Linked DNA regions of Caenorhabditis elegans. Each later gene encodes a partner of the first gene's protein in a complex. Each region holds a gene or a part of one and is shown in the gene's direction. Other genes may lie near its edges.

Evidence for each region.
Region 2: cul-2 (region 1) and fem-3 share a complex: the UniProt entries of both Caenorhabditis elegans proteins name them as parts of the E3 ubiquitin-protein ligase complex.
Region 3: cul-2 (region 1) and fem-2 share a complex: the UniProt entries of both Caenorhabditis elegans proteins name them as parts of the CBC(fem-1) E3 ubiquitin-protein ligase complex.

The regions. Positions count from the first base shown.
Region 1 is NC_003281.10:13,686,017-13,698,173, forward strand, and holds cul-2 (Cullin-2), read left to right. Parts: upstream 1-1,634; coding exon 1,635-1,663; intron 1,664-1,714; coding exon 1,715-1,858; intron 1,859-2,600; coding exon 2,601-2,661; intron 2,662-2,795; coding exon 2,796-2,935; intron 2,936-3,097; coding exon 3,098-3,203; intron 3,204-3,425; coding exon 3,426-5,099; intron 5,100-5,593; coding exon of another isoform or gene 5,594-5,599; coding exon 5,600-5,692; intron 5,693-5,952; coding exon 5,953-6,081; downstream 6,082-12,157. Other genes in the region: WD repeat-containing protein dyf-2, read right to left, coding at 272-360, 418-429; cyn-2 (Peptidyl-prolyl cis-trans isomerase 2), read left to right, coding at 6,716-6,784, 7,068-7,319, 7,478-7,675. UniProt on the Caenorhabditis elegans protein: Core component of multiple cullin-RING-based CBC (Cul2-ElonginB-ElonginC) E3 ubiquitin-protein ligase complexes which mediate the ubiquitination and subsequent proteasomal degradation of target proteins.
Region 2 is NC_003282.8:9,101,148-9,111,718, forward strand, and holds fem-3 (Sex-determination protein fem-3), read left to right. Parts: upstream 1-3,818; 5' UTR 3,819-4,054; coding exon 4,055-4,125; intron 4,126-4,215; exon of another isoform or gene 4,216-4,223; coding exon 4,224-4,568; intron 4,569-4,613; coding exon 4,614-4,692; intron 4,693-5,063; coding exon 5,064-5,411; intron 5,412-5,493; coding exon 5,494-5,584; intron 5,585-5,964; coding exon 5,965-6,197; 3' UTR 6,198-6,460; downstream 6,461-10,571. Other genes in the region: gldi-10 (AMP-activated protein kinase glycogen-binding domain-containing protein), read left to right, coding at 1-92, 160-413; C01F6.14 (Ovule protein), read right to left, coding at 2,750-2,974; aly-1 (Chromatin target of PRMT1 protein C-terminal domain-containing protein), read left to right, coding at 7,799-8,000, 8,050-8,519. UniProt on the Caenorhabditis elegans protein: Required for male development. In XO (male) animals, fem-3 directs male differentiation in all tissues. In XX (hermaphrodite) animals, it specifies the first 80 or so germ cells to be sperm. Negatively regulates male development when bound to tra-2.
Region 3 is NC_003281.10:628,533-638,833, reverse strand, and holds fem-2 (Protein phosphatase fem-2), read left to right. Parts: upstream 1-4,207; 5' UTR 4,208-4,261; coding exon 4,262-4,300; intron 4,301-4,354; coding exon 4,355-4,694; intron 4,695-5,105; coding exon 5,106-5,302; intron 5,303-5,352; coding exon 5,353-5,962; intron 5,963-6,261; coding exon 6,262-6,425; 3' UTR 6,426-6,815; downstream 6,816-10,301. Other genes in the region: sbds-1 (Ribosome maturation protein SBDS), read left to right, coding at 425-558, 766-895, 1,064-1,135, 1,696-2,121; eakr-4 (EAK-4 Related), read left to right, coding at 2,667-2,792, 3,141-3,239, 3,294-3,353, 3,414-3,536, 3,594-3,941; T19C3.6 (uncharacterized protein), read left to right, coding at 7,847-7,975, 8,282-8,446. UniProt on the Caenorhabditis elegans protein: Dephosphorylates auto-phosphorylated Ca(2+)/calmodulin-dependent protein kinase unc-43/CAMKII in vitro. Involved in the regulation of sex determination.

The DNA.
Region 1 (12,157 bases):
TTCAAAAATCTGAACAATCAGCGATTGGCTCCACCCATTTTCAAACCAATCAAGGTCTTTGCAAACGCATTGGTCATGAAGCTCCCATTTTGGAAAAAAAATCAAACAGGACAATTAGCCAAAATTGAAAATCCTACTTCTAAAAGTTGGCTTTAAATTCTTTCTCGATTTTTTTCGTCTTTTTTGGAGTTTTTGAATTTTGAATATTTTAAAGAAAAATCTTTAAAAAAGATACTGTTAAAAATAAGAATTAAACAAAAAATAAACAAACCATGCAACAGCTACAGTATGCCCATTTGGTCTCCATCGATGAATAATCGGTCCACTTCCGTGCTCTTCTTCGCCTCTTCGATATTGAAGCTGAGCAGAAACACATTTAAATACTTCCTGATTTTTTGTGAGAGTACACGGAATTACCTTTAATGACATTTATATGAATGAAGATCTCCGTTGTTTTCGACGTTTGCCACTGCTCCCCTATGATTTGTCACTTATGTCACGAGCCTACAAATAATGGTTACAAAAAATGAAGTACAAATCATTGAGCTACCCGAGCCTTTGGGGAGTTGTTGCCTTGGTAACCGGGCTACACAGTGTGTGTTGAGCACGCAAATTGAGGAAAGAACAGGGGAAGTGGAAGAGGGGATTTGATCATTCCCGGTTTGGGAATAATGACAATTAGTAGAATTTTCTGGATTCTCGAGAAAAAAAAACAAACCGCAATTTCATCTTTTTATGTGAATATCGAACAAAAATATTTGATAAAATTATTCATTTACACATCTGGGGCAAATACATTTGTAATGGGAGAGCATTACGGGTACACTAAATTTTGAGAAGTATCTCATAGCGAAAACTACAGTAGTTTTTTTAATTAGTACTGTAGCACTGCTCCGATTTTATTTTGGTTTTTGGCCATTTATTCCAAGTTTAGCCAAAAAATGCACAAAAATGCCAAAAGGGTATTCTTTTTTTTAATTTTTCAATATTAAAATTTTTAGAGAAAACTTTATAATCAAATTCCAAAACGACTCCACCTTTAATAACTTCAAATATTAATTTAATTTTAAATTTTAGACTTCAGAAAATTATTCTTAATTTTTGTTCTAAACAGATTTCCTTTTTAAAATCCTCCTTTTCTCACATGTCACATTTTTCATTGTCATTGCCAACTTCTAACATATGACGTTCAATATATTTTTAACGTTTGTTATCTCTTTTCAATATATCTTCTCTAAAAATCAAATTTCAGCTTCTCCACCATATCCCCGAAAATCTTCAGTGTAACCTCCACAGGAAACCGGTCCGAGGTTCACCGTCCACAGGCAAAACTGGCGTCGAATACACAGCCGACATCGAATCGTACGACACTTGGCCGCCGTAAGGCAATTTCTGACGACAATTTTCCCGTCGTTGAGCCGATATTGAAGAAAATGTGAGTGCGTCTGCTGCGCATCGATCGATATTATTTGGTTTATGACCCCTGGTTTCTCATTTTTCGGTTTGAATATTAAATAATTGAACGAATTAAAAAAAGAAAGAATAATTAAAATCACGTGATTCTTTTTATCAATTAAATTTTCGTGTTTAGTTTTTTAATCCGCATTTCAAAAATTTTCGCTTTTTCCGTAAAAATGGCAAGTTCCACAAAAGTTTCCTTACGGTACCCGTTATTTTTTTTTGAAAATTTCGCACAAATTGTCATCATTTTCAGTCGTCCACCTCGTCCACAGGTTATGTACTCACTGAAGCCAAAAGTTGTGGAATTTGACAAAGTATGGGTGCAGTTGAGACCATCTATCATTGATATCATCAATTTGCGGCCGATCACCAATGTTCAGTGGCATCACAAGTTTAGGTAAGTTTTGAAGGAAAAGTTTGATTTTTTCCAGTGATAGAAATTTCAGAAAGTATCATTTCTGTCATTCAACAGATTTTTCGAATTTTTAATTTGAAAAAAAAGATTTTTTGGGATTTTTTGTTCAAAAATGTCTTGATTTTTGGCCAATATCTAAAGTTTTTGTGCAAAAACTATTTATATATAAGGCAAAAATTACCTTTTTGTTATTAATCCGATTTTGTAAAAATGTTATGTTTTAAAAAATCAATTTTTGAAGTTATTTTCAGCAATCGCGTTGTTTGTAAGCAACAATCCTAAATTCGATTTTTGACAGAGAAAAAAAGTTTTTCGAGGATTTTGTCCACAAAATCCGAAAATTTTTTGACAAAACTATTTTTTTTTATTTCACGTGTATAATTCACTGAAAAACTCAATCATTATTCCAAGAATTGTAAAAAATTGCTCCAAAACACTAACATTCACTTATTTTCCGATTAATTCAGGATTATCCGAAAAATCGATTTAAAAAAACATTGTTGCAAAATCGGATTGATGATCTTATAACCTCTTAAACATACTTTTTAAAACCATTTTGGTAGTATTTTTTGAACAAAATCCATTTCTGGGAAAAAAACATGAGAATTTTTGAAAAAAAAAAAGATTTTTGTACTTTCCAAAGAAAAATGTCAAGAATCACAACTTTACGATACGAAAAGCTGGATTTTTATAAATTTTTAATTTTTTTAAATATTGTTTTCAGTGACGTCTACGACATTTGTGTATCGATACCGACTCCATTGAGCGAGCGATTGTATAATGAGGTATCTCGAATTTGACGTTTTCGACGAAAACCGAAAAAAAAAATTAAAATTCTACTTTTTTCTTCGGATTCTACTATAAAAAAGGATTTTCTAGCGAATTTGGTGATGAGACTACAAGATTTCCATTTTTACAGGTGAAGGCTTGCATTCAAGAGCATGTTCGACAAAAGCGTCAAGATATCGTCGATGTTGATCCGGATCTGTTGCTTCAGGAATATCACAAAATGTGGAGAGTTTTCCATGAGGGAGCCATCTTTATTCACCGTCTCTTTGGGTTCGTGTGAAATTTCTTCGGAATTCTTTTTAAAATTCAAACAATGATCTGAAAATGCTCCAAAATGCATTTTTGTGAAACGTTTTCACTGCGTCGTTGTAGAAGAAAAAGAATTGAAAAATACCCAAAAAAAAGAGAATTAAAAAAAAACATTATTTACAGATACCTGAACAAACAATTCGTAAAACAGAAGCGATGCACCGATTTGGACAATTTCGCGCAGTACGCCGCTTTTCTGCAGATTCCAGACGTCAAGGAGATCGGATGTGTGAGTTTGCGACAAAAAAATTGCGCCAGGTTTTTAGAAATTTCTTTATGTTTTCGACGAAAAAGTGGGTGGAAATAAAATCCTAGGCCACGGAGATGACTTCCGTGGCCGATGATTATCAGTTAAGACCACAGTGCGCTTTTTCAAAATTTTGTGTTCCTGGAAAATAACTATTAAATAATTGAGAAGTTTTGAACCAAAAAAACAAATCGAAATTTTCAGCTCGCACTAGAAATCTGGAAAGAAGACCTCGTGAAGACCATTCTCCCGCAGCTCGTCAAACTTCTGCTCATCGCGATTGACAATGATCGGAAAGGAAACTTCCCGCATATCGCCAATGAAGTCTCCGGCGTCATTAACAGCTTCGTTAAGATGGAGGAGACGGATTTCGACGTTGTACCGGCAGAAGGAGCACGCTATAAGGCTCGCGAGTCGACAACGGCGTTCTATCAGGAGAGCTTTGAGAAACCGCTTCTTACGGATACGGAACAGTACTATTCGGCGCTCGCACAAAAAATGCTCACCGACCTCAGCTGCAGTGAGTACATGGAACAGGTTATAGTGCTCCTCGAACAAGAAGAGATGCGTGCGAAGAAGTATCTCCACGAATCGTCGGTGGAGAAAGTTATCACGTTGTGCCAGAAAGTTATGATAAAAGCTCACAAGGATAAACTTCACGCAGTGTGCCATGATCTCATTACTAATGAGGAGAACAAGGACCTCCGCAACATGTACAGACTGTTGAAGCCCATTCAAGCGGGACTCTCGGTAATGGTTAAGGAGTTCGAGGAATATGTGAAGAAGAAGGGGCTCGAGGCGGTGTCGAGGCTCACCGGCGAGAATGTACCCCAGCAATTTGTGGAGAATGTGTTACGGGTGTATAACAAGTTCAATGATATGAAGACTGCTGTGTTCATGGACGATGGCGAGTTCTCTAGTGGACTCGACAAGGCGTTGCAGGGAGTCGTGAACTCGAAGGAGCCAGGACAGTCGGTGCCGAAGGCCAGTGAGCGGTTGGCGAGATATACGGATGGGTTGCTCAAAAAGTCCACGAAAGGACTATCGGAGACGGATTTGGAGGCGAAACTCGACAGTGCAATTGTGATTTTCCGCTATATAGAGGATAAGGATATATTCCAGAAGTTCTACTCGAAAATGCTCGCAAATCGGCTTATAGCAAGCACATCGATATCGATGGACGCCGAGGAGCTGATGATTAACAAGTTGAAACAGGCGTGTGGTTATGAATTCACCAGTAAACTGTCACGAATGTTCACCGATATCGGGCTTAGCCAGGAGCTATCGAACAACTTTGATAAGCACATTGCGGACATTAAAACTGTGCAGCCCGACGTGAAGTTTGTGCCGACACAGACGATGATTCTGCAGGCAGGTAGCTGGCCGCTCAACGCTCCACAGCTCTCTACGAATTCGAATAATCAGACCGCACAAGACGTGGCCAACTTCCATCTGCCACGTATCCTGCAGCCTGTGATTCAGGAGTTTGAGAAGTTCTACACTGGGAAGCACAACGGGCGAAAACTGACATGGCTTTTCAATATGTCACAGGGAGATGTCAGGCTTACATACCTCGATAAGCAGTATGTCGCACAGATGTATGTCTATCAGATGGCAGCGCTGCTTTGCTTTGAACGTCGCGATGCTATCCTCGTTAAGGACATCGGAGAGGAGATTGGTGTGAGCGGTGACTATCTGCTAAAGACGATTCGAACGATTTTGGACGTTACCCTGCTGACGTGTGATGATCAGAATCTAACGGCCGACTCGTTGGTTCGTCTGAACATGTCGATGACGTCGAAACGGATGAAGTTCCGGCTTCAGGCGCCACAAGTGAATAAGGCTGTCGAGAAGGAGCAGGAGGCCGTCGCGAATACTGTAGGGTTTTCAGTTTGTTTTTCATTGGCGAGGGCCTCAAGTTATGACTTTTTGAGTTCAAGCACTAAAAATCTGTATTTTATTTAGTCCTAGACTTTAAAAATTTTTAAACGATCTCAAAAACCAAGTTTTAAAATGAGACACCTTGAAAAATTCTCAGCATTTTTATGACGGTGGAAATTAAAACAAGCCAAGCTCAACTAAAATCTCAAATGCTGAAAAATCTTTAATAAAGAGTTTAGGTGTTTTTTCGAAATTTTAAACCTTCGTAAAATTTTTTTAAATGTCTCACTATGAAATTTGGTCTTTTGTGGAAACTTTGAGTCAATTCAATCAATTAAACAATTTATCTGCTCCCTTTTTGAGCCAATGAGCCTAAATCAAAGCTATAAACTGTGGCCTAGAATTCTGAGAGACTAGACGTATTTAGTTAGGCCCCGCCTCGATGCAGCTAGATTATCCAAACACGTGTGCCTCGCAATCGTCAATATTAGTTCCAGGTTTCACAAGACCGAAAGTACTATATGGAGTGCGCAATTGTCAGAATTATGAAGACCAGGAAGGTTCTGAAACACAATGCACTTGTCACTGAGGTTTGTTAGATTTTTGTTGTTGGTCAAAACCCTGTAAAACGAGATATTCAACCGACTGAAAATGCTTTACAAAAATATTTTTGTTTGAATTTTGAACCAAGAAACTGAAAATCAAAAAGTGGATTTTCCTCCAAAAAAGAAAAACAAACAATTTTAGAAACAGTTTTTGGTCCGGAACCCCCCAAAAAAAAGCGAAAAAAATCTTTTTGCAAAATGTGCTATTCCACATCAAAAATGCGGAAAACAACATTTTCTTGCAGATAATGGACCAAACGAAAGGCCGCTTCTCGCCCGACGTACCATTCATCAAAAAGAGCATTGAGGACCTTATCGAGAAAATGTATATTCAGCGAACCGATCAAAATGACGAGTATCAATATTTGGCCTAATTCTCTCCCCCTATTTGCGTGTTTTTTCCCTGAGAGGCAAAAAACTAAAATTTAAAATTTACACTGTGTAAATGACTCTGAAACATGCCATTCAAAATCCCCACTATAATTTTATTTTTCAAGATTTTCTAACAATGATTGCTTTTTTTCCAAATTGAACTGTACTGAAAGTAAATCCCCTCGCCCCTCATCTTACATATTTTATATCATTTTTTGCTGGAGCTGCGCAACGGGGAATCATCAAACTGTTTATTGGAATACCTATTTTTATACTTTTGGAGCCCTCAAAAACTGAAAATCGCGGGAAATTCTCTGTTACTCCCGACAAACGGCTATTTGCCTATAAAACCAACCAGTCCGTAGCCTCTCCTTGAAAATGTATATGTACTATATTTGTCTTTTTTTTGTGTTCTATCCTCCCTCCTCAAGCAACTATTTTTTCTCCGGAATCTCTATGATTACGATAAAGTAGACAATTATCCTTCCCAAAATTCCAATTTTGTTTCATTTAAATTTTCACGTTTTTGAACTTGAACTTTGATCCACGACACTCTTACGGCACGTGGCAAGTCATAATGGAAAATTTGAACGTCGGTAGTTTTAAATTTATTACTGCGAAAAGAATCGATCAGCGATGCCACGTGTCAAAGTGTTCTTCGATATCACGATTGGCGGAAAGAAGGGAGGACGCATCGTTATGGAGGTAAGGGGGGCAGCGTTAGGTTCTCGGAGCAAATATGATTACTGTAGGCGCTAGTGGTATGTCAGTTTGCACTTTAATGAGTATAAATTGAGAAAATCGATATAATTTTTTGTTGCCATTTATCGATTTTTGTCGTTCTGTTATCGGTTTTTAGGATGATTGTAAAATCTTTTTCAATGGTCTTGCAGAAATTTGCCAGTTTTTCGACTTTTCAGGAAGTTACTAGATTTTGGCAACATTTAAAAATCAATAAACTAAAGATTTTTAAAACCTGTCGTTGCAGCTCTACAACGACATCGTGCCGAAGACAGCGGAAAACTTCCGCGCTCTGTGCACCGGCGAGAAAGGAAAAGGGAAATCGGGCAAGAAGTTGCACTTTAAAGGATCCAAATTTCATCGCATCATCCCCGAGTTTATGATCCAGGGCGGCGATTTTACGGAGGGAAACGGCACCGGCGGAGAATCGATTCATGGCGAGAAGTTTGACGACGAGAACTTCAAGGAGAAGCATACCGGACCCGGAGTCTTGTCGATGGTGAAGATTCTGAAAAACTAAAAAATCGATATTATATTTACTCAAGTTATCGATTTTTCTGTTATTGTCGATATTTGATCAAATTTTCTTTGAAATTTTTGTGAATATCGGGCTTTCTGAAATTTTATGCGCTCTGGAATTGACTATTGATTTTTCAGGCAAACTGTGGGGCGAACACAAACGGCTCGCAATTCTTCCTGTGCACAGTCAAAACCACGTGGCTAGACGGAAAACACGTGGTTTTCGGCAAAGTGATCGAAGGAATGGATGTGGTGAAGGCGATCGAGTCGAAAGGATCCGAAGATGGGGCACCGTCGGCTCCGTGCGTCATTGCTGACTGCGGAGAAATGAAGTGATGCTTCTCGAAGAACAACACTGGAGAATTCGTCTTTTTATTGGATAAATATGATTTTTATTCATTTTTTTAACAAAGCATAGTTTTTGATACGTGAATTCGAAAGACAATGATTCGTGAAGTTTTTAATCGTATTTACAGTGGGGGGACCACTTTATATCTCTAAAGTTTATTAGAATTTTAAATATTATGTCTCAGCCTCAAAAGCTTTGTGATTTTATGGCAAACAAACTCCGGGGATGCAAGTTTGTGGAATTTTGACGGAGTCCCTCATACAAGGCTGCCGCGTGGATTTTTAGAGGGCTCTTTCAATTTTGAAGTCAAACTTTCACGTTTTCAGCAAACTCTAGTTTTATATCAATATATTTACTTCCACAAATCAGAGGCCCCCGAACTAACTTTCCATGAAGTCTCTTTGCTGAAATGTCAGTCGTTTTTTTGTTGCGTGAATTTTCTAGAAATTGCCCAGCCGCCTACACGAATTCCGTCAGAGATATAAAAGTAACAAAAAAAAGTTGAAAACCGCGTGGTGACGTATGTACAGTTCTCTCTGGATGCCTACGTCTCTTATCATCACCACCGCTATTTTCGGTCAAAAACTGAGAGGGAGAGAAAAAGAGAGGCAGATGGTCAATAAGAGACGCAGAGAAAGAGCAGTGATGACTCCCCCAATCAAGAGTGCTTACTGACTTTTTCCCCATAGTTTTATATAGCACTGTTTTTTCTTGCATTTCTTTCATTTTTGAGTAAATTGATTTGTAGCAAAAATACTTTGAAAATCGATAAAAATAAGCTTTAAAAAAATTTTACAGACGTTTTTCCTGTAAATAAACTTCGCCAGTGTCTTGGCTTTTCAAGAACCAATATAAATATGGACGAGTTCTTTTCTTATCTCTAACTGAGTGAATTGTAAAAAGGTATCGTTAGCAAGCTTTTTTTAAATCTGAAAACAGGCTCCGCTCAAATCTGCGGTACTATTACGAGAACAATAAATCATGAGAATGCGTACGTGGAGCATTTTATTTTTTTATATCGATATCACTTAGCGAAAACTACAGTAAGAACTCAAATAACTATTGTTATTTAAGTTCTTACTGTAGTCTTCGCTAAGAGATATGACAAATAAAATGCTCCACATACGCATTCTCATGATTTATTGTTCCCGTAATAACTGTATACAGCAAATCCTGTGTTTTTCTCAAAATAGGCTGCTCCCATTCATTGGCTTTTTAGTTTATAATCGGACACTTTGGATTTAGAAACTCAAAAAAACCAAGATGTGCGGATTGCTTGTCATTTAACTTGTCAACCTTACTATGTATTAGCCTAGTGTTTACAGCAGGCATGTGGGGCAAATCTGAAAATTGGCCGAGCAGGGCGAAATTGGCAAATTTGCCGTGCATTTTATGTTATTTTACTAAACTTTGGGAACAAAATCTATTGTTTTGCTCAAAATTGAACGCCGTGCCCGGCAAATTTGGCAAATTTGGCAAATTTGCCAAGATCGTCAAACGGCAAATGAGGCAAATTTTCCGCACAAAACTTTGTGTAAATACCATGTTTTTTATTTCAAAATATTCAAAAAAAATCAATTTTTTTGGCAAAGAAAACTATTGTTATGCCCAGGGGTACGTGTCAATTGCCGTACGGTAAACGAATTTTCGGCAATTGCTGAAATTGCCGATTTACGAAAATCAGAATTGCCCGAACTGTAAGTTTGAAACTTTTTATAGATGTAAGAGCCTAAACACGCATTTTACTGAACAATTATCTCTTTTCAAGCTCAAAATGATTTAATCTAATTGTAAGGATTGACAGTTTTGTTTTCGAAAATGACAAACCGAATACTAAAATACAAGGTGACATTTTTTTTTCAATTTCCGAAATATAACTAGTTTTGAAAATTGCCGAACATTTCTGATTGCCGCGCACACCTGGTTGTGTCGTTGAATTTTATTTAATAAATTTAAAGTTTTAAAAACTCTTCCAACAAATGTGTTGTCAAAAAAAAAGGTTCCTGGTCGATTGGATCGTTATCCGGGACAGTAAGTGTGTCTCGTGTTGTTCAGTGTCACTTTCATTTCTGTTTTTACTTTCTCCAGCAATTTCTTCACTTTCCATCTCCCTCCTCGAATTTCTCTTCTCATAAGCATTTCCCTTTTCCTATCAGGATTTTCGATTTTTTTAAACGAAATGCGAAAACTAATGGTGGTGGAGGTCCTGGAACTTCCCCGCTTTCATGGTATTTCTTCTTTCTACACTTTTAATCACGTTACTTTTTCTAGTAGTTGTACATATATTTTTGAAAAAAAAATTGCCGAAAATTTCCAATGATTTGGCAATTTTTTTTGAATTATCTATTGTTTGAATTTTAAAAATATATAACTTTTCTTTGAGTATTTTAATAATTATTGATTTTTCAACATTTTCATAATCTGGATTTTGTCGGTGTACCTAAATTTTATTTTCGACTGCATTACAATGTTTGTGGCATATGACGTTTGGAAATATTTTGAAAATTCGAGATCTTTTTTATTAAAAACTTGAAAAAAATTTGCATCAGTTTTCGAATCGGAAAACTTTTCCCCAAAGATTTCATTTTGCAAAACTATATAATAAAACTAATTTTTTGAATTTTCTCGATTTCTCCAACTTTGGCATTCACCGAGTTGTTTTTACTATTAGTTAAATCGGCAAAAGGCTTATTTTTTAAATATCTATTTCTCCTTTCTACAACCATTAAAAAATTTGCGAAATTACCATGGAAATACCGTACAAAATACCAGGGTCCCACGTTTGCGTTTTATAAACCTTTTCCAAGATTTCATATTTTTCCGACAATATTTTTGAGGCGCATATAAGAACTATTTCCATGGTGCATCAAAATGTGTTTTACACGTTTTTTTTTCAAATTTAAATGCAGATGGGCAAACTTCGCTTTAAAATTTGAAATATAAATATCTTACCTTAATTTTTGAAAAGTCAGAGTTTTAAGGAATTCTATTTTAAATTGGTATTACATGCTCCTTATAACTCCCTTTCACCCAAACATTTCGAATCTTTCAATTTAAAATCTAAAATCTATTCAAATTGGTTCGCTCACCTGTTTTCCATTTCTTATGCCAATTTCCATTTTTCTACCAAATTTATCATCCCCTCCCCACACATAAAATTTCACAAAATTTTTCAAAAACCTGGTCGCCAACCAAAATGTTTCATTTTCTACTATGAGTGTGCATGTTGTTCATTCATAAATTACACGCACATTTTCCCTTTCAGCCATCTGTTCCCAGACACCCCTTTCGTGTGGAGAATGGGGAGTTTGTAGGTAGAAATCGATGCAAAGCTACAGTTTTTTGCTATTTGGTTTTGAAAAAGTTGAAGAAAGCTCGGCCAGCGAATTTTTTTAACGGCCGCTTTGGAAAAGGAAATTTTTGGTGAAAATTCAAAGTTTAATTTTTCAGATTATCACTAGGTTGCATTACATCGGTTCAAATTTTTGTGAATTCAGAAAAAAACGATGTATGACGAAATTAATTTCTTTGACTGTTTTCACCCACATCTACTCAAAGTTTAAGTTAGCAGTGCATTTGATTTGAAATTCTTTCCAAATGCTTGGATTCCGATGCACCATGAGCAAAGCCATGCAACTTTAAAAAGCATCCAACAACAAAAGGAATTATAAAAATATGTTTGCAACGTATACGTATTTTAAGGTTATTCCCGTGGTTACCATGAGATATTATTTTAAAAGTTGCTCATAATCAAACATTTGGAAAAAAACTCCCGGAATAAAAAATTCTTTCTGCCAACGCTGCCAACATTGGCAACAAATTTAGTACTCGACAGTATGCCAAGTAATGCAAAGCTTAATTGCGTACGATTAAAAAGTTTCTCACTTCCCTGCACCATGTCGATGATCAATCAAAATCGAAATTTACCACGGGTTTTATGGCACATACAATCTCAACGTTATGAGGATCACAGACTTTATTAAATGTTACTTTGGTCGGATAATATGGCTATTTTTCTGAATCTGCCCAATATTTATACTTTTGGTAGCACATATTTTGAAATCCATATTGCGGTTACAGTTCTGTAAGTATGAGTATTTAACTCCCACATACCAAAGAATGCCCAAAGAAAATATCAACCCAAATTCGTACATACACACACAATATGTTGTTCCCATAACAGAAGCCTTCCCCTCCTCCTATCCCTATTTTTGCGCTCGCTTCCCGCGCCTCGGAGCTGCCGGACGCCACTGGACAGCACAACTGCTTTATTTTCTCTGCACCATCTTCTCGGAGCAAGCGGACGGACAAAGTAACGAAAGAGACGCAGAGTAAAAGATACGGCCCCCACTCCCTCCCCCCATGCTCTTGTTCTCGGGCGGCTCGGGACCCTCCATGTGGACACTCTCTATTTTCTACTGGAACTTTTTGGGAGGCCCCTGGCTATAGTCGAAAACTTTTCTGTATAC
Region 2 (10,571 bases), on another chromosome or scaffold:
AGAAGCCTCGGAAACATCATCTCACTGTGAGCCAAACCTAGGAGCAAAGCAGACTGTTGGAAATGAGCAAGATGCTGATATTGTTATTGATGGTCAGTTCTTTTTTTCACCATAGAACGGTTTAGACAATTTGCTTTTGATTCATTGTCTTTTTTCCAGATTCACATTTATTTGCTGAATCTGAAAATGAATGCAGTGGAAGCATCCTTGTCAAAGGTGGACAACAGAAGGTGTTGTTCCGTTGGACAGACGAAAAACCGACTACTGTAGATTCCGTTACATTGACTGGTTCATTTTTTGGTTGGAATATGAACATTCCGATGAAAAGAAATGAATTGAAGATGTTCGAAGTTTGTATTGAATTGCCGGATGGAATGCATGATTACCTCATTAATGTCTACCGTTTTGATTAGTCCAATTTTTGTAATAAATGTTTTGTAAAAAATTTTAGTTTTCAAAAATGTTATTTACTTGAATAATACTTCATGACCCGGATGGATCATTTCCTTTGCATGTTGATGATTTCTCTTGAAAAAAGCAATTTCCAATTTATCATGCAATAAAAACATAATCTCGAATAATACTATAAAACTGGCTATTTTCAAATTTCCAAATTATTTCGAAATCATGGAGAGGCGATGGGACGGCGTCTGGTGAGCTTCATGTGGATTGGAGTGACCGGGCGAACGATGATCTCCATTTTTGGACGGACCTGAACAATTTTAGTTAAAATTTAATTTTTACATGTTATATTTTCAAAGTACCGTCGATTGGGGAATCCCCAATGGGGATAAAAAAGGCTAATTAAGCTTTTTTTATCCAAAAAATTGAAAACTATTGTAATTTATCTATTTCTTCGCTAGAATTTTCTCATTTTGCAATTAACAATTTCTTTCAAAAAAAAAACGTAATATGAAAAAGTTTACTTTTGTTGTGACTGAAAAAAATTTTACATTAGAAGAAACATTTTTTAAATTCAAAATAAAAAGTAAAACTTTCTATATTCTATTTTCAATAGTGCCTATTTATGAGAGCAATTTAAAATTGCAAAATGAAACATTTCAGCGAGAAAATAGACATCGCGATAATTTTCAATATATTGGATACAGCTTAAATTGCTTAATCATACAAAAAATGCAAGTCTCCCCAATCAGCGGCGCTTTCAATTTTCACCTCGTGCATCAACTCGACAGCTTTTATATTGAAATTTCTCAACAAATGAGCCATGATGACCTTCTCTTCCATAAGTGCAAAACGTTGACCGATGCAATTACGGCTTCCAGCTGAGAATGGGATAAAGGCGAATGATTTTCGACCAATTGAGTTTTCAGGATGGAAACGATCCGGATCGAAAACATCAGGATCCTTCCATTGAGCAGGATCGCGGTGAACAAGGTACAGGTTGAGCAGAAAAGTGACTCCTTTTGGAATATTAAAGCCTCCAATTACTTGATCATCACTCAGTTCTCTCGTAATAATTAAAACAGATGGAAAGAGACGCAGAGCTTCTTTCAATGCACATTCAAGATATTTCATTCTGGAGAGATGTTCAATAGTCACATCTTCATCGTCGCCCATTACTTCATCCAGTTCCGCTTGAACTTTTCTCTGAACGTCGGGATGATTTCCCAGAAGATGAACTGCCCACATTAATCCTGTAGATGTTGTATCGTGACCCTCTAACATGAATGTGTTACCTTCTGCTTGAACATCTGTTTCGTCCATTTGTCCACTGTTTACCATTTCGAGAAGAAGATCCAGGAATGCGAGACGACCTTCCATCTTATAATCATTCTCCTGTAGTGCTTATTTTCTCTCGCCAATCAATTTCTTCGTAAAATCATGGAAAATATGAAGACATTTTTCATGCGTCCGTCCGTCCTCTGTTCTAAAAATACAAATTAATTGACCTTATTAATGATAAAACTACCGTACAAATTGTAAATAAATGAATTCCACATCAAAGGATTATTTGTTCGCTTTGAAATCAGTTTATTGATTGTGTGCACTGCCCATACATACTCGTTATTCTGAAAAAGTATTTAGAAATGTTGAGATTAGAGTTGTTTTCCCAAACCTCAGCGAGTTGAGCGCCGATAGCTATTCCCATGGAAGTTTCGCAGATGATATCAAGAGTACAAAGGGCGATAACGGAGAGAACATCAACTCTTTCACTGAAAATAAACATTTGAAATAAGTAATTATAAATTGAAATTCTCACTCTGCACCAAGGCAACACAATTTCTGAACCAAAATCTTCAATAAAAGAAAATCAAAAAAAGACGCCATTGTTCTTTCTGGCTCGTCAAAATACTGATTCCAAGCCATGGTTCAAGCAAAACGTATGCGAACCCTGTTCAGATGTTTCGTCGACGAGAAAATTGCTTCAACAAGGTCGCCAGAGTAGAGCATCAGGCATGGGAATGGACCAATCCACAGAAGACACATTCGTGGATCTGGATATAAATATCCCATTCCAATCACTTGGTTCATGAATCCCTCTGGATCTGGCTTGGTGATGAGTCCGTGACCGATGATTGGGTATGATCGTGGCTGATTGAGATGCTGAAAATTTATTGAAGTTATTCATAAATTTATTTTGAAATCAAACCTTCAAAGCTTGACGCATTCTCAAGTGTTTGTAGAGCAGCCAAGCGATCACCGTCGCCGAAGCCAGAAGTACAGCGAGGATGATAACCCCCATGCATATGATGAATAAAAAAATATTAAATAAAATAAATGTTTATTTTCATAAAAACTGGACAAATTTCATATATGGACTTATCGGAACAAAAAGAAAGAAATAATAATAAACCAAAAAATTTGAAAATCTATGATAAAACCTTTCAGATAACTTCTCCACAGTCGGTGATGACGCAAGCCTTGGAACCCTTCGTGTTTGATTTATTGAAGGCGATGCGGGAGACAACTTCGGTTCCAGCCAAAACTTTACCAAATGCCACGGTTTTTCCATTCATCGATTCATATGGAAGAATCGAGATGTTGAACAACGAGCTGTTATTGTCTTCTTTCAATCAATTTTCCTGAAAAAAAAAGCTGATTTCAGATGCGGATATTCATGAAATAAAAAAGCAGATGAATAAAAATAAATAAATTCCCATTTCAGTCTCTCAATTTAGAAATGCTGAAAAACTGACCATCGGCAATATTCCCGGATTTTGATGCATTTCAAGATACTTTTCATTTTTGAAATTCTTTTCGGCAAAAAACGTATGGGTCAAACATTAGCCAAATAAATATTCTGAAAAGTTAGTTTTTGATAGCATCTTTTAAGCTGGATTTTGTCAATTTATAAAACTTTTAGATGCCTAAACATCACTTACAAGATTGAAAGCCCAATGAAAAAAACTAATGTTCAAATGAGTTAGCAATGGAGCGCGTTTACGTTCTTTGCGCGAGCTTCGAATTTTTCTGCTTTTATTTTCAGAAAAAAACACTTTCTGAAGTTTTTCAGTTTTCCTTCAATTTGTTATATCTGGTTTCATGCATTTTTTAATCGTAAGAAAATTTCATATTCATTTTAGTTTATCGAAATAAGAATTACTGTTTTAAAAATTAAACAGAATTGAGAAAACCACAAACTAAGCGCCCTGTGTTATTTTTTAACCAAAATTTCTCAGATTTTAAAAGATATTCTGAATTGATGCGAAGTAATCGTGTTTCTCTAAATTATATTCTCAGTTATTCTAAAAATTCCCCTCCTCTTCTCACATGCTCTTTTCCTAATTCTCAATGCAATTTTTCACAATTTATATTATATTCACAACCAAAACTATATTACTAATCGAAAATTGCAGACGCTGTCCGAACAGTTGTAGGAGTGGTGTCGGGCGACGTCAACGTCTCGAAACAGAACCAGGACTGCGAACGCGGAGAATTTTGTCTGCACTCTCTCCGAAGAGAGTGCAGAGAAAACCAGAAACGGGTAGTAGACCACCCAGTCGGTTAACTACGGTGGATTGGAAGAAGTGACCAGCAAGAAATTTCAATGTAAAAATAAGAGAGATTTCCATTTATTTCAATTGTAACTGTAATGGAGGTGGATCCGGGTTCAGATGATGTAGAAGCTGACAGAGAAACGAGAGCTCAGAAACTAAAATTAAAGTAAGTTAAATTTTTTAATGTTTTTTTTTGTTGAAATTGTTTTAAATTCTTTAATTCACATCCAGTCAAACTAAAATGATCAAAAACTAGGTTTTCAGAAGAAATGTCAAATTCCGTGCACAAATGAGAAGATTCGACGAGTACTGTGGAGTGACTAATTTAACAGTAGATGATCTCAATTGGCCTTTAATATCTGGAATTCCTTTACAAAGACAACGATTGACAGGAGCTACGTATTATGATGATAGTCTTCTCGATCAAAATCCTTGGGATGAATTTTCAATTGATCGATTTCTTGAAATTACTTCAATTCAATTAATAACAGCCGGTGCTGGATATGAAAGGAATGATGAAATTACTCGATTCGTTTTTCAAAGAACAATGAAGACAATTGTAACTTATTGCAATTTTATGTATGATTTGGCAAGGCGGAACGGGAAAGTGTGAGGCGAATCTGAAATTTTATAAAATAAAATTTTAATTTTCAGTCAAATAACTCGATTCGAGTTGCAAGATTTGATTCATCGCGATGAATTTCGGTTTTACATGTATTTTCGACAATTTTTAGTGAGTTTCCTTGTTTTATCATAAATTAAAACAAGCTCTACTTACCCGATTTTTTTTTCGATTTTTGAACCAAAAAAGGGATATCCGACTCGACACGACAATTTTTAGTTAAATAAAAACGGGTGTGTGCCTTTAATAAGTACTGTAATTTTAAACTTTCGTCGCTGCGGAATTTTCTTAGTTTTTCGGAAAATTGTTTTAATTAAAAAACTAAAATTACGCAATTACCAAAAAAAAACAGGGATTTTAAGAAATCAGGAAAACATGTAAAAACCGGTGAAAATTTAACAAAAACAAAATCTTGAAATTCCAGTACTCTTCAACGGCGCATTTCCGTTTGTATTTTACTTTTTTTAAAATCCTAATTCCAGCCCAATCCGGATCCGAATTGTACGGCCTTTTCCAATCACTACACGTCTCTTCTTCATACACTCTATTTCAATATTCCGGGAATGCCACAGTTTTGGAACAATTCCCAAATGTATAATTACGCTGCTACCCGTGGTCAACGCCTTGTTCAAAATATCGCCGCTTTTTATCCACCCGAATATTTTTGGAACGAAGATGAATCCAAGTATCATACTACGTTTGTGGTTCCACGTGGCACAGAGTTCTCAAAGTTTTATGCTCGAAGATTTCATGAAGCACTTGGAATGCCACCACTGGAAAATGAGATTATTACGGTTTTGGATTGGCTTGCGAAGCTCTGCATTTTGGAAGTAAGCATTTTAAAAATGTTATTTATGTACTCATATATTAATTTAAAGCTTTTAAGCGTTAAAAACTATTTTACATTTGTAGATTGTATATCACACAACGATTTGGTGCGACATAACTGGATTTGGAGGGCTTCCACGTATTGAGCACTATCGTTTAGCCATGGAGAATGTTGGTAGGAATTTATTGTTAAAATAATTTAAAAGTATATACATGACATGTTTTTCAAAATATAAAACACAATTTTTTTAAAGCGAAACTTTAAAAAATCATCAAAAGTCGAATAGCGTAAAGGGAATTTTTGTTTTCATAGTCGCAAATTTCTAAATTCTACAACAGAAAGACAAAAAATCGACATAAAAAATCCATCGTTTGAAAACATGCTTTTTCGATTTTGGCATTTTTTTGTATTGAATTCAAACCCGGATGTTAGCAAAAATTTTTAAAAAATCACGTTTTCGGTATTACTAAATTCTCCACATTTAAAAAGAGTCCATTCTGAAACTTTTTCGATTAAAAAATTTCTTTCACAACTATGTTTTGTTCTAATTTCAGAAGACATCATATTCGACTTGGCAATTGATGATTTCTCAATTTCCCGTCTACAGTTACAAATTTCGCCGTTTGAAATCTCTCGCTACTCACCTCTAGATGTATCTGGTTATTATGAAACAATTAAAAGAAAAAAAGATATTGAAGAATATCAAAATCGTTTCTATGAAGTTCATTATTCTGATGATGTTCGGATTATGAATGTTTATGCTACTGATTGCTCCAGGAAACGATGATATCAATTGTTATAATGATTTGCTTTTAATTTTAATATTATTTCATTTGAAAGTCTAACTCTCTATATTTTACCCAGATTTCCTATTTAATATCACCGATTTGCCTTCTATCTCACTAACGCTTCTTGTGTCATTCACTTTCGAATCCTCTGGTTTACATTTTGAAAAATGTCATAATGGTACACTGCTAAAAAAAGCTGGTTCCATATCACTTTAATTTGTTTTAAGATTTGTTTAATTTAAAATAAAGGTATAGATAATATCGATTAAGCTGCTTACAATTGGTTAGACGCTACGCAAGTGCGCTCTGGTAGACAAACAATAGCATCTGTTGAGTGCGCAGTTGGTTTACACTCATTCAAATGTGTACGGGTGTGGCATTCGAAACATTTCGAATGAAACACTAAGAGTTCCAGTTGCTTTTACGAGTTTTTGTGTAATTTTCAGTTGATTTAACGTTTATTGCTCATTGCTAGAAGCCGAACTACAAAAAACCCACTATTTGGCAATTAGTCTACTACGACTCAATTGGTAAAATATTTCGAAAGTTATATTTTTCCAATATAACCATCAATTTCATAATGTAGCATCTTTCCTTCAATTTTTAATATTTTTTTGTCATTCTGAATAAAAAAGTACAAAAGTCATGCTGAAAAGGATACATATCGATACAATTCCACATGAATATAATTTGAATTTCTATTCAACTGATATACATTACACATATTCGCGTGTGCTAGAAAACTCGTATTTTCCCATTCGATACATCATCTGCCAACTTTCTTAACAATCCCAAGATCGTCACCCTTTCCTCCACAGCACCAGTCCCGCCTTTTTAACAACGATCTGTTTTTAATGGATGCTCGATCTATATGCATTAATTCATTCTATCATTCATTTACCGAGATGGTCATAACATATTTCATTTATTTATGGTTTTTTTTGCTTTTCCAATGTATTATAGTTATATGAAATTCTCTGTAGTTCTAAAGTAAGTCGCATTTTACCAATCTTTTGTATATATTTTTAAAGCTTTGCTAAACTAAGAAAAATTATACAGGCTAGATTTTTCTAAACTTTATAATTTACAATCTTTAAATTTTGATGTCCAAGTTCCTCTTGATAAGAATCGAGCACTTTATAAAGAAACTACGAATTTAATAATCAATCTTCAACAACTCCCCCAAATTGGTAATTTCTGTGTTTTATTTTTTGATGTCACCTACCTATTCTAATTAAAATAATACTATCTCTGCCAATTTGATAAACGACCTTTCCCATCTTCTCCGAAGTTCCAAGTAGCCATCTCCAGATACTCCATCCACCTAGTCTATCGATTGAAAAGTCTTCACTTCCAAACGCTGCGTTTACCTATTTCCCCATTCTCAGAGAATATCCCACACAGAGTCAATCATTCATTCCGCCGACTTGGTCTCTTTTCCATTTCATTATTTTAATTTATGTACAACAATAGTCAATTGACTATATTAGTTCTCTTATTGCCATTTGCTCACCCTCTTTCAATGTTACATCTCAGCTTTCTACATTCATTGCCTTCAATCAATTATTTATGAATCAAATTTCAGAGAACTTCTATCAAAATGGCTCGTGCTATTGCTATCGATGCTCCACTTTCCGCTGGAATCAGAAGAACAAAGAAAAGTCCAATCAAAAGAGCATCAGTTGGTGGAGTTAAAAAGAGATTCTCCACTGGAACTGCTGGACCATCAAGAAGACCAACTGCGCAACCAAGACGCCAAAGTGGAGGAATCAGAACAGTTGACAGATCTATTCCAGCAAATGGTAAGTTATAAATGCCATTTTGCTCTTAAGTTATGGTTAACATTTCCAGAAAACCGTGAAGTACGTATCAACTTGTCAAACTTGGCCCACACCGTTCACTCCGGGGACCTTCGTCAACTCTTCGCTGAATTCAAAATTCGAAACGTCTCCGTGAACTTCAACGAGCACGGAAAACCAGTAGGAACCGGAGATGTGACTCTCCCAAAACGTCACGCTGATCGTCTCATCCAAAAGTTTGCCGGAGTCTCACTCGACGGAAAGGAGATCAAATTCGCTATCATTGATTCAGCAAATATTGCAAACCGTGTCAAGTTCCCAGAAGCTCCAAGAAGAGCTCCATCAAATGGAAGACCAGCTCAAAGAGCACCAAAAAGGCAGAATGTTAAATCAGGAAAACCAACAGGAGGGGCTGGAGCTCAAAAGAAATTGAAGGCCAAGAAGCCAAAGAGAGAAGCTCAACCAAAGAAGACACTCGAAGAGTTGGATGCGGAGCTCGATGTGTATATGTCAAAAGCCTAATAATTTAATTTAATCCAAATTTTACTTGTTTGTTCTCATGTTTTCATAACTTATAATTTTGTACCTAATAAAAACATCAAAAGCTAGAACACCCGTGTTTCGTGTATTTAAAAAGAAATCATATTGAACGGCGAACAAACGGTAAAGCTAAAATCTCCTCGTAAACAAAGTAATTTCATTATTATATTTGTTCAAAATTATTTTTAAAAAACATTAAAATGAATCAAACCAAAAAAGGAGGTGTCGATAGAAATATATTAGTTCCCATATCATCCCTTCGTCAGTCAAATGGAAATGCCCATTTCAATCGTTTTTAGGCGGTACGTGATCAAACACACACTGAAAAGAAGTGCCAATTAGGGATGCGAACGTTCATTTATTTATCTCTTTTGTCATTTGATGGTGCCCATAAAACTGTTTTCTTTCCGTTTCAAATGTGATTATTATGCTTCTTCTTCATTGCTTACTCTTGTTCTTTCATTTAAAAACTACAAATTTATAGTGAAATCATTCAAATTGTTTGCAAAAACAGAGCTCTGTCTCTCTATTTTTTCTTTGCAAATTTATTTTCATCATCCTGTTCCACTCTTTCTTCGTTTCCGCCGAGAAATCCACTTGACCCATAATCAATCATCAAAATACACTCGAGCGATCCTTTTTTTTGAGTTTTGATGAGATTTTGAACTTTCTTGAAATGGTTTTTATTTTTCTACTTTAGCATGTGTACTGTTCACATTAGATTTGGAGTAGCGACAGTGGGGAAATTTATAGCAAGAATATCAAAGAAAACACCTTTGGAATATTAAAAATACATTTTATTATAAGTCAAAAGTACGAACTATGAATACTCAATACTTTGAAATTTTTGAAAAACTAAAAAAAAAGACGTTTAAACGAAGTTTATTTTAAATTATTTTTAAAATAATTTTCCAGTGTAGATTAGAGTGTAAGGTAATGTAAGGGCGATCAGAAAACTCCAAATTTCAAAAATTTGTTAAGTTGCCAAAACTTTAAATCATAGTATTTTCAAATTGTTCATAGGGTTTTTGATTACGGTACTCTATCATTTCGGAGTGTATATTTTTTTAGTTCAAAAATATACTATTACAAGGAGAAAACATTACTCATATACTAAACGTTTGGTCTTTTCATTTTATACAATTACATCTTTCACAGTAGTTAAGCGTACTTTAAATTAATTAAAAACAATTGTTTACTCTATTAAAATGCTCTGAAACTCAGAAATTCTCCACAATTTCTTTGCCAGCTTTTACATCAACCTTAGAAATTATTCAGATTTTATTCATAAAGTTTCTAACGTGGATTAAGAAAGATGATATGGCCGTAACACTGTTGATAACTTGCTGAATGAGAATAATTGTTGTTTTTTGTACTTATATTCAGCTTCACCCATCTAAAAAATCACTGAAAACCTACTTCTCTCAGTTATTGTAAACCTTGTTGTATTAGTCAGAGAGATGGAGAAATAGAGTGATTGATGATAACAAAAAGCGAAAACGATTGATAACATTGTACATATTTACATACGTGATTACATCTTCAGAAAATTTCTTTGCTACTCAGAGACTTGGTAATAATTCCCGAGGAAATTTGTTTCTATTGCATATTATTCAGAAATAAAAATCCTGATGGTCGCGTACGGTTTGTGGTATTTAGGCTTCTCCCACAATTTATGTTTGTAATGATTTTACATATGTGTGGGAAATCATTGTTAAATCGTGACTTGATGCAAAAAAGTATGAATGTTTTTTTAAAAAGTTAATAGAAACTACAAACATTAGATTTGAAGCTTCATGTAATAGTCCTGTTAGACGAGCTTCAATATTTAATTTGTATTCCTTTTTAGTAACTTAAACTCCGAAAAACAGCTCATCAATAAAAAGTTCTCTCGACAACAGCTGAATGAGTATTGTATTACATTTATAAACATACTTTTCTCCAATCACTATTAGTCATATGTGTATCTGTAAGTGACTGACGCATAAATTAAATGTGTTCAATTTAGAATTTTGTCACTGTCACCGCGCTCAC
Region 3 (10,301 bases), about 13 Mb from region 1:
CCGAAAAAAAACATGAAAATTCTCATTTCTGAAACTAATGTGAGCTTTTTCGAATTTTTTTGAATCTCAGAAAATTTGAATTTTATCGAAAATTTTCCAATTATTCTTATATACCGAATTTTCAGTCATTTAGACCCAATTTTAACTAAATTCGAATCCGATTTTTCGTTTTTTCGACGCTACGACCCCGAAAAACACCCATTCTTCTCACCTCAACGACTGGTTTTATCTCTTTTTTATTTGATTTATCGACTTTAAAGTTTAAAAAAATTCAGATTCTCCGTTAAAATGAAAATTTAGATTAAAATTTTTTTTCGACATTTGAAAAAAAAGTAGTTTCAAATCTATTTTTATATCTCAAAATGGTCTCTTTTGTTTTAAAATTAAAAATGCCAAAATCTCTTAAAATTTCAGCCGAAAAAAAATGTCAAAAAATATCAAAACGCCGACAAATCAGAAAGTTCTGACCAATGTGGCAGTGGTTCGAATGAAGAAAACCGGAAAACGATTTGAAATCGCTTGTTACAAGAATAAAGTTGTTAATTGGAGAAATAAGAGGTAAAATATATATTAATTTTTAAAAAAATCATATAGAAATCTGAAAATTTTAATTCTCAAACCATTTTCTCAGTGATAAATAAAAAAACAGTTGTTTCTAAATTAACCTTTTGAATAATTTTGTTCAAATATTATTTTTTGGAATTAATATTTACCATATCAAAAATCAATTTAAACAATTTCCCAAAAATCTAAAAAAATTTTCAGCGAAAAAGACATTGACGAGGTGCTCCAAACCCATACAGTCTTCTCAAATGTCTCAAAAGGACAACTTTCCAAGAAAGAGGAGCTTATCGCCGCTTTTGGAATCGAGGATCAGTTGGAAATTTGTAAAATTGTAAGGAAAACTTGGATTTTCTGGAAAAAAAGAAATTTTAAAGTTTTTTTTTCAGATTAAAAAACATTTTGGCCTAAAATTTGGTGTAATTAGTGTTATTTGTCATCTAAAAAGTTGAATAAATTTATTCAAAATAGGTAGAAAAAGACAATATTTCCTAAATTTCAGATTCTCGACAAAGGAGACTTGCAAGTGTCGGAAAAAGAGCGTCAGGCGGCTTCAGATCAATCGCTGAAAGAGGTACAACTTGCCACGTAGCAAAAAATGAAAAAATTTTAGATTCCAGGCTAAAAACCTGTTTTTTTCTTTAAATTTTTAAAAAATTAGGTAGTTTTTTTCTCCTGAAAAATGTAAATTTTCCTCCAAAAAAAATCCTGAAAAATCTCAATTTTTCTTCAAAAAAAATCCTGAAAAATCTCAATTTTCGTCAAAAAAATTCCTGAAAAATGTAATTTTTCATCCAAAAAATTCCTGAAAAATCTCAATTTTCCTTCAAAAAAAATTCCTGATAAATCTTAATTTTCCTCCAAAAAAAAAATCCTTTAAAAATCTCAATTTTTATATAAAAAAATTCTTGAAAAATGTGAATTTTCATCCAAAAAAATTCCTGAAAAATCTCAATTTTCCTCTAAAAAATTCCTAAAAAATTCCTAAAAAATTTCAATTTTCCTCCAAAAAAATTCCTGAAAAATCCCAATTTTTTCTAAAAATTCCTAAAAAATCTTAATTTTCTCCCAAACAAGTTCCTGAAAATTTTTAATTTTTCTTCAAAAAAATCCTGAAAAATCTCAATTTTCCAGGTATCCCAGCTGATTGCCTCAATGGTCGTAAATCCTGAAACGAAGCGTCCAGTTCCACCGTCAGTAATCGATAAAGCTCTACAAGAAATGCACTTTTCCCTGAAACCGAATCGTTCCTCAAAGCAGCAGGCTCTCGACGCAATTCCAAAACTTCGTGAAACTCTGAAAATCGAACGAGCCAAGATGAAGATCCGTGTGGCGATTCCGACAAAAGAAGCGAAATCCGTGCACACGAAGCTTAAAACCCTATTCAGTGACGTGGAAGTTGACGATTGGCAGGATGGAAGCCTCGAGATGGTTGGGCTCATTGAGCCCGGATCGTTCAGAGCTTTGGACGATTTGGTCCGAAATGAGACGAAGGGACACGGAAGATTGGAGATTCTCAGCTTGAAGGATGTCGTCGAAGGAGAATTGCAGATTTCTTAAATTTCATGTTAAAAATTTTATTTTTTTGTTGCTTTTTTGCTCTTTTGCACTCAAAATGTGCAGACATTTTTGAGTGTTTTTCTTTTTTTCCCCTCCACACACCCGAGAATTCTTTTTGGATCTCAAATTGTTATCATCAACGTTCCCATGTTTTTTCCCAGTTACCAAAAACTTTTTGTGTCAGGTTTTCAGAAATCATTATTGCTTTTAAATGAAAAGTGTTAATCTTACAAATTTTTGAGAAAAACAATTTGGAAAAAAACCCCAGGAACATGATTTGAAGGCTAGAAAACTAATTCTCTAAGTTTCCCCGGCTCGAAAAAAATTCGTTCAATATTTATTTTCCATCACTTTGCATAATTTACAGTACTCACCAGGCCAGCGAAATTCATGAAATTGTACAATTTTCTTGTTGTTTTTCCAACAAAATTTAAAAATAACCCGGACTAGTCGAAAACAAGGCAGTCGTGGGGTACTGTAAATTAGGCGGCCTACCAAGTTGAGCCTTCGCCAAGTAATCCTCTATTTCCCTGTCACAACCGATAATGGGGCAATGTCTTGGAACCCTGTGCACTGTAGATTCAGCTACAGATAATATTTCCAGCGTCTATCAGCTGGCAGGCCCAGTTGCGGTGAAAGAGAGCCCACGTATTGCTGAACGGGACCCAAAGGTAATATTTTTCGTTTTTTTTTCAGAGTCTTATGTTTTCAATCTTTTTTGCTGAGAAACCTTCGAAAAAAAAAACAAATCTAAGCTTAAGTCTAAACCTAAGCCTATGCCTGGAGACACAAGCCTAAGCCTACGCATAAGCCTAGGCCTAAACCTAAGCCTACACCTAAGCTTAAGCCTAAAGGTTAGCCTAAGACTAAGCTCACACCTAAGCCTAAGACTCAGCCAAAGCCTAAGACTCAGCCTAGGCCTCAGCCAAAGCCTACGCCTAAGTCTATGCCAATTTCTAAGTCTATGCCTTTGACAATACCTAAACGTATGCCTATACCTAAGCTCAAGAAATTTTCAGGTCAAAATCTCTGTGAATCCCGAGGAGGAAAATGTTGAACGCCCCTGTGTACTTTACTCGAAAAGTAACGAGATTATCAAAAAACCGGATATTTTTGAGGTGAGAATATTCTTAATCACGGGCACGGATTTTCTCAAATTTATAAATTTTTAGGAAATCTACAAGCGCACACCGATCACCCTCTCGAATAACGGTAGAATTGACGTTGCCGAGGTTTTTTAAACATATTTTTTTCAAAATTACATTTATCAAGAACTGAATTAATGAATTCAGCTTCCCGCCGGACAACGAGTCATTGAAGTAGAGAACAACGAGGTTCGCGACAAGTATAAAAAAACGTTGTACGAGATTCGGAGAAAATGCAGGGAACTTCAGAATTTGGGTGCTGAGGATGAGGTAGGCGGCCTTCAATGGCGTTTGAGTTAACTCAAGAAAAATCTGCGATTTTTCCAGGAAACCGGTGAAATCATCGATACTCTTCTTATTCTTTACAAGGACTTCTTCTTACTAACCACGTGGAAAATCGATAAGTACGCCCAGTTGAGAAAAAATGCCGCAGTTCAAGCTTACAACTCGCTACCCAAGCTTAGAGCCGACCCCGCTGAATTCCGATGCCACGTGGAGTTTCAGTATCGCGTGGCAAATGAGCTATGGGAGCATTTCAAGGAGACATATATCCACAAATATGAAGCATGTAATTGGGCGGAGAGGGCGAAAGTGAAGGAATGGGATCTTTTGGACAGCCAAGTACAGACGCCGAATGTGGAGTGGGATTATCTTGGCGCGCATGGATATATATGAATAATTGATTTTTATTTTAAATTTTTGATCCATTTTTGATTTGATAAAAATGTTATTAATACAATACAATGCGAATTAAATTAATATTTCGCGCGAGAAACGCGCCAACGCACCGAAAGTGCGCAAACGAGAAGCTTTGCGCGTTTCTGGTGCAGAAAATTCTGCATTATTTTTTTGTTGATTTTTCCTCATTTTGTGTTGAAATCCATTGTTTTTTCTCGGTTTTTCTCTGATTTTTATGTTAAAAACAATTATTGAAATGTCAGATCAACCCAGCTGTCCCACCGAAGCCGGTAGTGGTTTTAAAACTGGAAAAATACATGGAAAAAGTAAACGAGGAGCGGGATGCGGTTTTCGAGGTAGAAAACGGGATTTTATATATTTAATGCTAGTTAGAAAAATGTATATTCCAGGATCACATCGGCGATCGCCGTCGAAGTGTCCGGTCACTTCTGGAGGAGGCATTTGCAGATGAAATGGAGAAAACTAGCTATGACGTCGAGGTTGCCGACACTCCACAACCGCATATTCCAATACGTTTCCGTCATCCACCAATCGCCGGACCAGTTCATGATGTTTTCGGAGACGCGATTCACGACATTTTCCAGAAAATGATGAAAAGAGGCCAGGCGGTCGACTTTTGTCACTGGGTGTCTCACTTGATCGCCACAGAAATTGACGAGAAATTCAGTGAAGTTGCGTTCAGAGATGTTCAGTATAATCCTGATATTTATGTTACCGATAGTACCACAGGTAATTATTAAATGTGCAAAATCTGCTATTAATTTAGCAGACCAAGCATGGGCCTGCTAAATATTCAGCAGGCCTATCCCCATTGGTCTGCTAAATATTTAGCATACCTAACTTGGGTCTGCTAAATATTTAGCAGACCCATCCCCATTGGTCTGCTAATTATTTAGCAGACCAACTATGGGTCTGCTAATTATTTAGCAGACCACCTATGGGTCTGCTAAATATTTAGCATACCTACCATGAGTCTGCTAAATATTTAGCAGACCTATCCTCATTGGTCTGCTAAATATTTTTAGCTGGCCATTCCCCATTGATCTGCTAATTTTTGCAAAAATAAAACTTGTTAAATAGAATTTTTAAAAAATCTTCAAAAACTCAACACTTCTGTTCATCAATACAACTTATTTTCAGAAGCCAAAAAGCTATTCAACGACAAAATTTGGCCGGCGATCGACAAGATTCTCCAGCAAAACGCCGAAACGTGCCCGATTCTGTCTGAAAAGTGGTCTGGAATCCACGTGTCGGGCGATCAACTGAAAGGGCAACGTCACAAGCAAGAAGATCGGTTTTTGGCGTATCCTAATGGGCAATATATGGATCGTGGAGAGGTTTAGGAGGATTTTAGGCCTGGAAAATTACTGAAAAATGAAATTTTTAGGATCCAATTTCGGTGTTAGCGGTGTTCGATGGTCACGGTGGTCACGAGTGCTCTCAGTACGCAGCCGGGCACCTTTGGGAGACATGGTTGGAGGTTCGAAAATCGCGAGATCCTTCAGATAGCCTCGAAGATCAGCTTCGCAAGTCGCTGGAGCTTCTCGACGAACGAATGACTGTCAGAAGTGTGAAAGAGTGTTGGAAGGGTGGAAGTACAGCTGTCTGCTGTGCAATCGACATGGATCAGAAGCTTATGGCGCTGGCGTGGCTCGGTGACTCACCCGGATACGTCATGTCGAACATTGAATTCCGTCAGTTGACACGTGGACACTCGCCATCCGATGAACGGGAAGCTCGGCGTGTTGAGGAAGCTGGCGGCCAGCTTTTTGTGATTGGAGGCGAATTGCGGGTGAACGGAGTTCTAAATCTCACCCGAGCACTCGGAGATGTTCCTGGACGGCCGATGATCTCTAATGAACCGGAAACGTGTCAGGTGCCTATTGAAAGCTCGGATTATCTGGTGCTCCTGGCTTGTGATGGAATTTCTGATGTTTTCAACGAGCGTGACCTGTACCAGTTGGTGGAGGCATTTGCGAATGATTATCCTGTTGAAGGTTAATAAAAATTCTTGGAGAAAAACTAAATTTCCAAAGCCAAAAACTATTTTTTCGTTTTTTTTTTCTGAAAAAAAATCAGAAGATTGGCTATTTTTCGGGGGTTTTCAAAAAAAAAAGTAAAGATTTTCGAATTATTGTATTTTTAAAAAAGAAAATCGGGTAATTTACTAAAATTTGAAAAAATCAATTTTTAAAAAAACCATTCAAAATTATTTTTAAGGTAAAAAACATTAGCCGACGTTACTTTATTTTTTAATGTAGAAAATTCTTTAAAAATCGAAAAAAAATTTTTTCAGACTACGCGGAGCTCTCCCGTTTCATCTGTACAAAAGCGATTGAGGCTGGAAGTGCCGACAACGTGTCTGTTGTGATTGGCTTTTTGCGTCCACCGCAGGATGTGTGGAAGCTTATGAAACATGAATCAGACGATGAAGATTCCGATGTCACTGATGAGGAATAACTGCTTTTCGGTGGAAATTTTGCCTGAAAATTGGGAAAATTCTTGCTAAACTTCGGTTGATTTTCTCAAATTTTTGTCGTTTTTTTTCCTAATTTTCGGTCGATTTTATCAAATTTTCCCCTGTTTTCCTGTGTCTATTTGTTTTTTGGGTATTCCAATTTTCTCTCTCCTATTCACCATATCGTCGTCATTTCTCCCCGTTATCTAGCAGCTTTCCGTGACCCACACACATATTTTGTTCTCGGTGTTCCTGTAGCATTTCACATTTACATACGTTTCCAACCAGTTGGCATCCCACCAAAAATCCGAGTACTTTCCTTCTCCTCCTCCACTTGAACATATATTTGATTTGAATTTATTTTATGATATAAATTGTATAATGACGTGGAATTACTGGGATATTGAGTAGCTGAATAGGTTTTTGAGACACTTTTTGAACACTGAATTTTCATAAATGACTGTAAACTTTTCAACTCGTGAAAAATGTAAAAAATCGGAGTATACCAGTCATTTTCAGTAGAAAATCTCCTTTTCAATTGAAAATCCGGGATTTTTCGAAAGAAAAGCTCGAAAACACCGCGAAAAAATGATTAAAAAAGTCATATTTTCAAGAGGGAATTTCAAATTTCCCGCTTACAGCAAATGCGCTCTATTAACAAAGAAAGCAGAATTTAGCTGAAACACGGCCCGGCAAAGGGTACATCAGTGTAAACGCGCTCTACTGATAATTGCAGTTTAGCCAGGTTTGGGCGCGTTTTAAGGAAAAAAGATTTGGTCCAAAAAATTTTGAATTTAATTTTTTTTTATGGTGGAATTTTACAAAATTTGATTTTTTTTAAATTTTCGATACGAAATTCTAATTTAGCGTCATTGGTGATTTTACAAATTTTCAGCATTTTGTCGTCAAATTTGGTGTTGCCACAGTACTTACATACTTTTGGAGCTACAGTAACCCAATGTTCACCGACATGTGGCGCCAGACTGTCCCATCGCTCTACTGCGCCAGAAAAGCGTGAAAATATTTTTTGAAATTTTGTGACGTCACAGAGCATTTCGAATAATTGTTTTTGCAGTTTAAGCCTCGATTTTCGCCGTTTTTTGCGTCGAATAACTTTAATTTATAAAAATGATATATTAAAATGAACTTACTATTAGGAAGATATACATATAACCCTTTAAAAATCTGAATTATTATTAAATTGTTCCCTTTTTTTTCTATTCATCACAATTTCTAGTCATGTAGACAATAACAATTAGAAGATGCACAAAAACGGCATATTTATAATTTTTCACCCAATTTTGTACAGTATCCAAATTCATATACGACACCCCCTGCCAAATTCTGAGAAAAACAATTAGAGGCGCATATAAAATTTGGTCGACTTCACTTTTTTTTTCTCATTTTCACTCGATTTTCTGCGATGGGATTGGTTACAAGTATTCTGGGACGGCGAGAGTATCGTTTGCTCCAAAATTCGGTTACCAAGAAGCATTTGTGCAAATTTATGGGTGTAGAGTTCGACTACAATGACTTGGATGAGATTACCGAGGTGAGATGATTTTTTATGATTTTAATGCTATGCCTACACCAAGCCTACCACACATGGTGCCAGGCTGTCCCATTACGGTTTGATCTACAAAAAATGCGGGAATTTTTCGCCCAGAAAAATGTGACGTCAGCACGTTCCTGACCATGCGAAATCATTTTAGAACTCTGCGTCTCAACTCCCGCATTTTTGTAGATCTGCGTAGATCAAACCGAAATGGGACTCTGACAACGCCCTCCTTCATCAGTTAAGTGTCGAATTAAAAGAAAAAAATAGTTTTTTGTCTTCGAATTTTTTGTAGCTTTCCAGATCCGTGTTGGGGAGAATATATTCGACACGTTCGAATCCTACGCAAGATTCGCCATGAAAGACACTATGAAAAGTATATTCGCTGAATGCAAGGCTATGAAAACATGTTTGGCTAGAATTGAGAGGGAGAAGCAGACCGAAGCCTCAATGAATCACAAGATACGGGTTAGTTGGAATGTAATATTGATTTTTTAAAGGTTTTTGTTTAGAAATTCTGCCAAGCAGCCTCTAATAAATGCCGAGTGTACAGACTCCGCCCCTTTTTCGCGTTTTTTCGCGTTTTTTTTGGCTTGCGAAAAAATGTCACACTACGTTTTCATTAATAACTCCAGAGCCGTTTGACTGAATTTTATAATATTTGACAGCTTACTAGAAATATTTTGCCCCACGGTGGAGCAAAAAACTGCACAAAGTTTGGAGCAAAACTGAGCTCAGGGCGGCTTTCCCCAGTTTGAAAAAAATTTTTGTTGTTCTTTTTACCCCCAAAAAACCATGTTTTAATTGAATTAAAATTCGGGTTTTGCTCGGTTTTGTTCCAAATTTATGTGCAAGATACTACTCAGAGAGGTGGATTTTTTGAAAAAAAGTTTGAGATTATAAGTGCAAATGGAAAAAAGTTGTGATAAAACAAATGGCCAAAAAATGACATTTTGCCAAAAAAAAATTTTTTTCCGAAAAAGTAGTTTTTCGTCTTTATCTCAAGTTCTACTTCATCTTTTTTGATATTTTTTTTGTTTACCCCACGTACAAAAGTACGCTGAACACGATTTTTAACTCAGAATTGGAAAAAGTTCTATGAGTCGGCCGAGCAAGACGAATAAGTGCCAAATTTTGCACACTTTGCCATTTTTGCGAATCTACTTTTTCAATCATAACTCGGTCAGTTTTCAATTTTTCTTAGTTTTCTAAAAAATGACGTGTAGGTCTCATCAAGACGCATCGAGACATATAAAATTTGTAAAAAGTTCAGTGGGAAAATTTTTCAAGAAAAAAATAATTCAAAAATTTAGTACTGGGGGGAGTGGTTTCCTGGGTCTCCTGAACATTTTTTCCACTAAAGTTTTGCGGAATGTATTTTTGATTCATAGTTTTTGATTTTATTTAATGGAAGATGAAGTTTCGTCGCATTAGAAATACTCTGCCAAGAGATATTCATTTTATTAATTTTCAGGCCAAAACTTGTTTTTTTCTATACATCTGTCTGTGTACAAGATATAGCCCTCAACTGTACGTCTCCTTTTTGGGAAATCAATAATGAGTACAATGCTGTAATAAAATTTTCAAAAATTAGGTTTTCCGCTGACTTATCAGTGATAAACGGTTTTCGAACGTCTTTCCCCAAATAGTTATAATTGAAGAAAGCGGAATCGAAAGACGACTCCCTCCAGAAATTTACCTTCCTTACTTCCAGTTTGAGATTTCTCCCGCATGGCCGGGTGGTTAGTGCGTATGTCTGCGGATATTTTGGTAGTTGGTTCAATTCTACCAACTGACAAACTTTTTTGTTTTTTTTTGAGTATTCGGGATTCGAATATTATATAGAAATACTCGATTTTATACAAAATTTGGGTACGTCTCCCCCCATCTAAATCCTCCTCAAACTTCAATCAATCAAAACTCAGCTTTAACTGATTCATCGGGTGCGTCTGTTTTTGGTCAAACCGAACTCAAAAATCAAGAAGACTCCCTTGACCCACTGCAATTTGCACGAACCCTCTAACAGGTTCGAGGCGAAGTCGAGAGCCTACGCCCGGCAAGGGGACTCGCCTTACATCCCCTACAACTGTCGGGCCCGCAGGGCCCGCTAGTCAAACTTTTGTTGAAAATAAAACTGAATTGAAAATGCCTTTATTTTGTGGAAACTTGAAAATTATTTTCAAAATTTTCAAAAATGGGGAACATTCTAAAAATTCAACTTATCAAATTTGACCATTTAGAGTTTTCTGAAAATTTTAAATTTACAAAAAAATTTAAAAAATAAAATTTTTTTGGAAACAGTTTCTGAAACTCCAATTTTAAA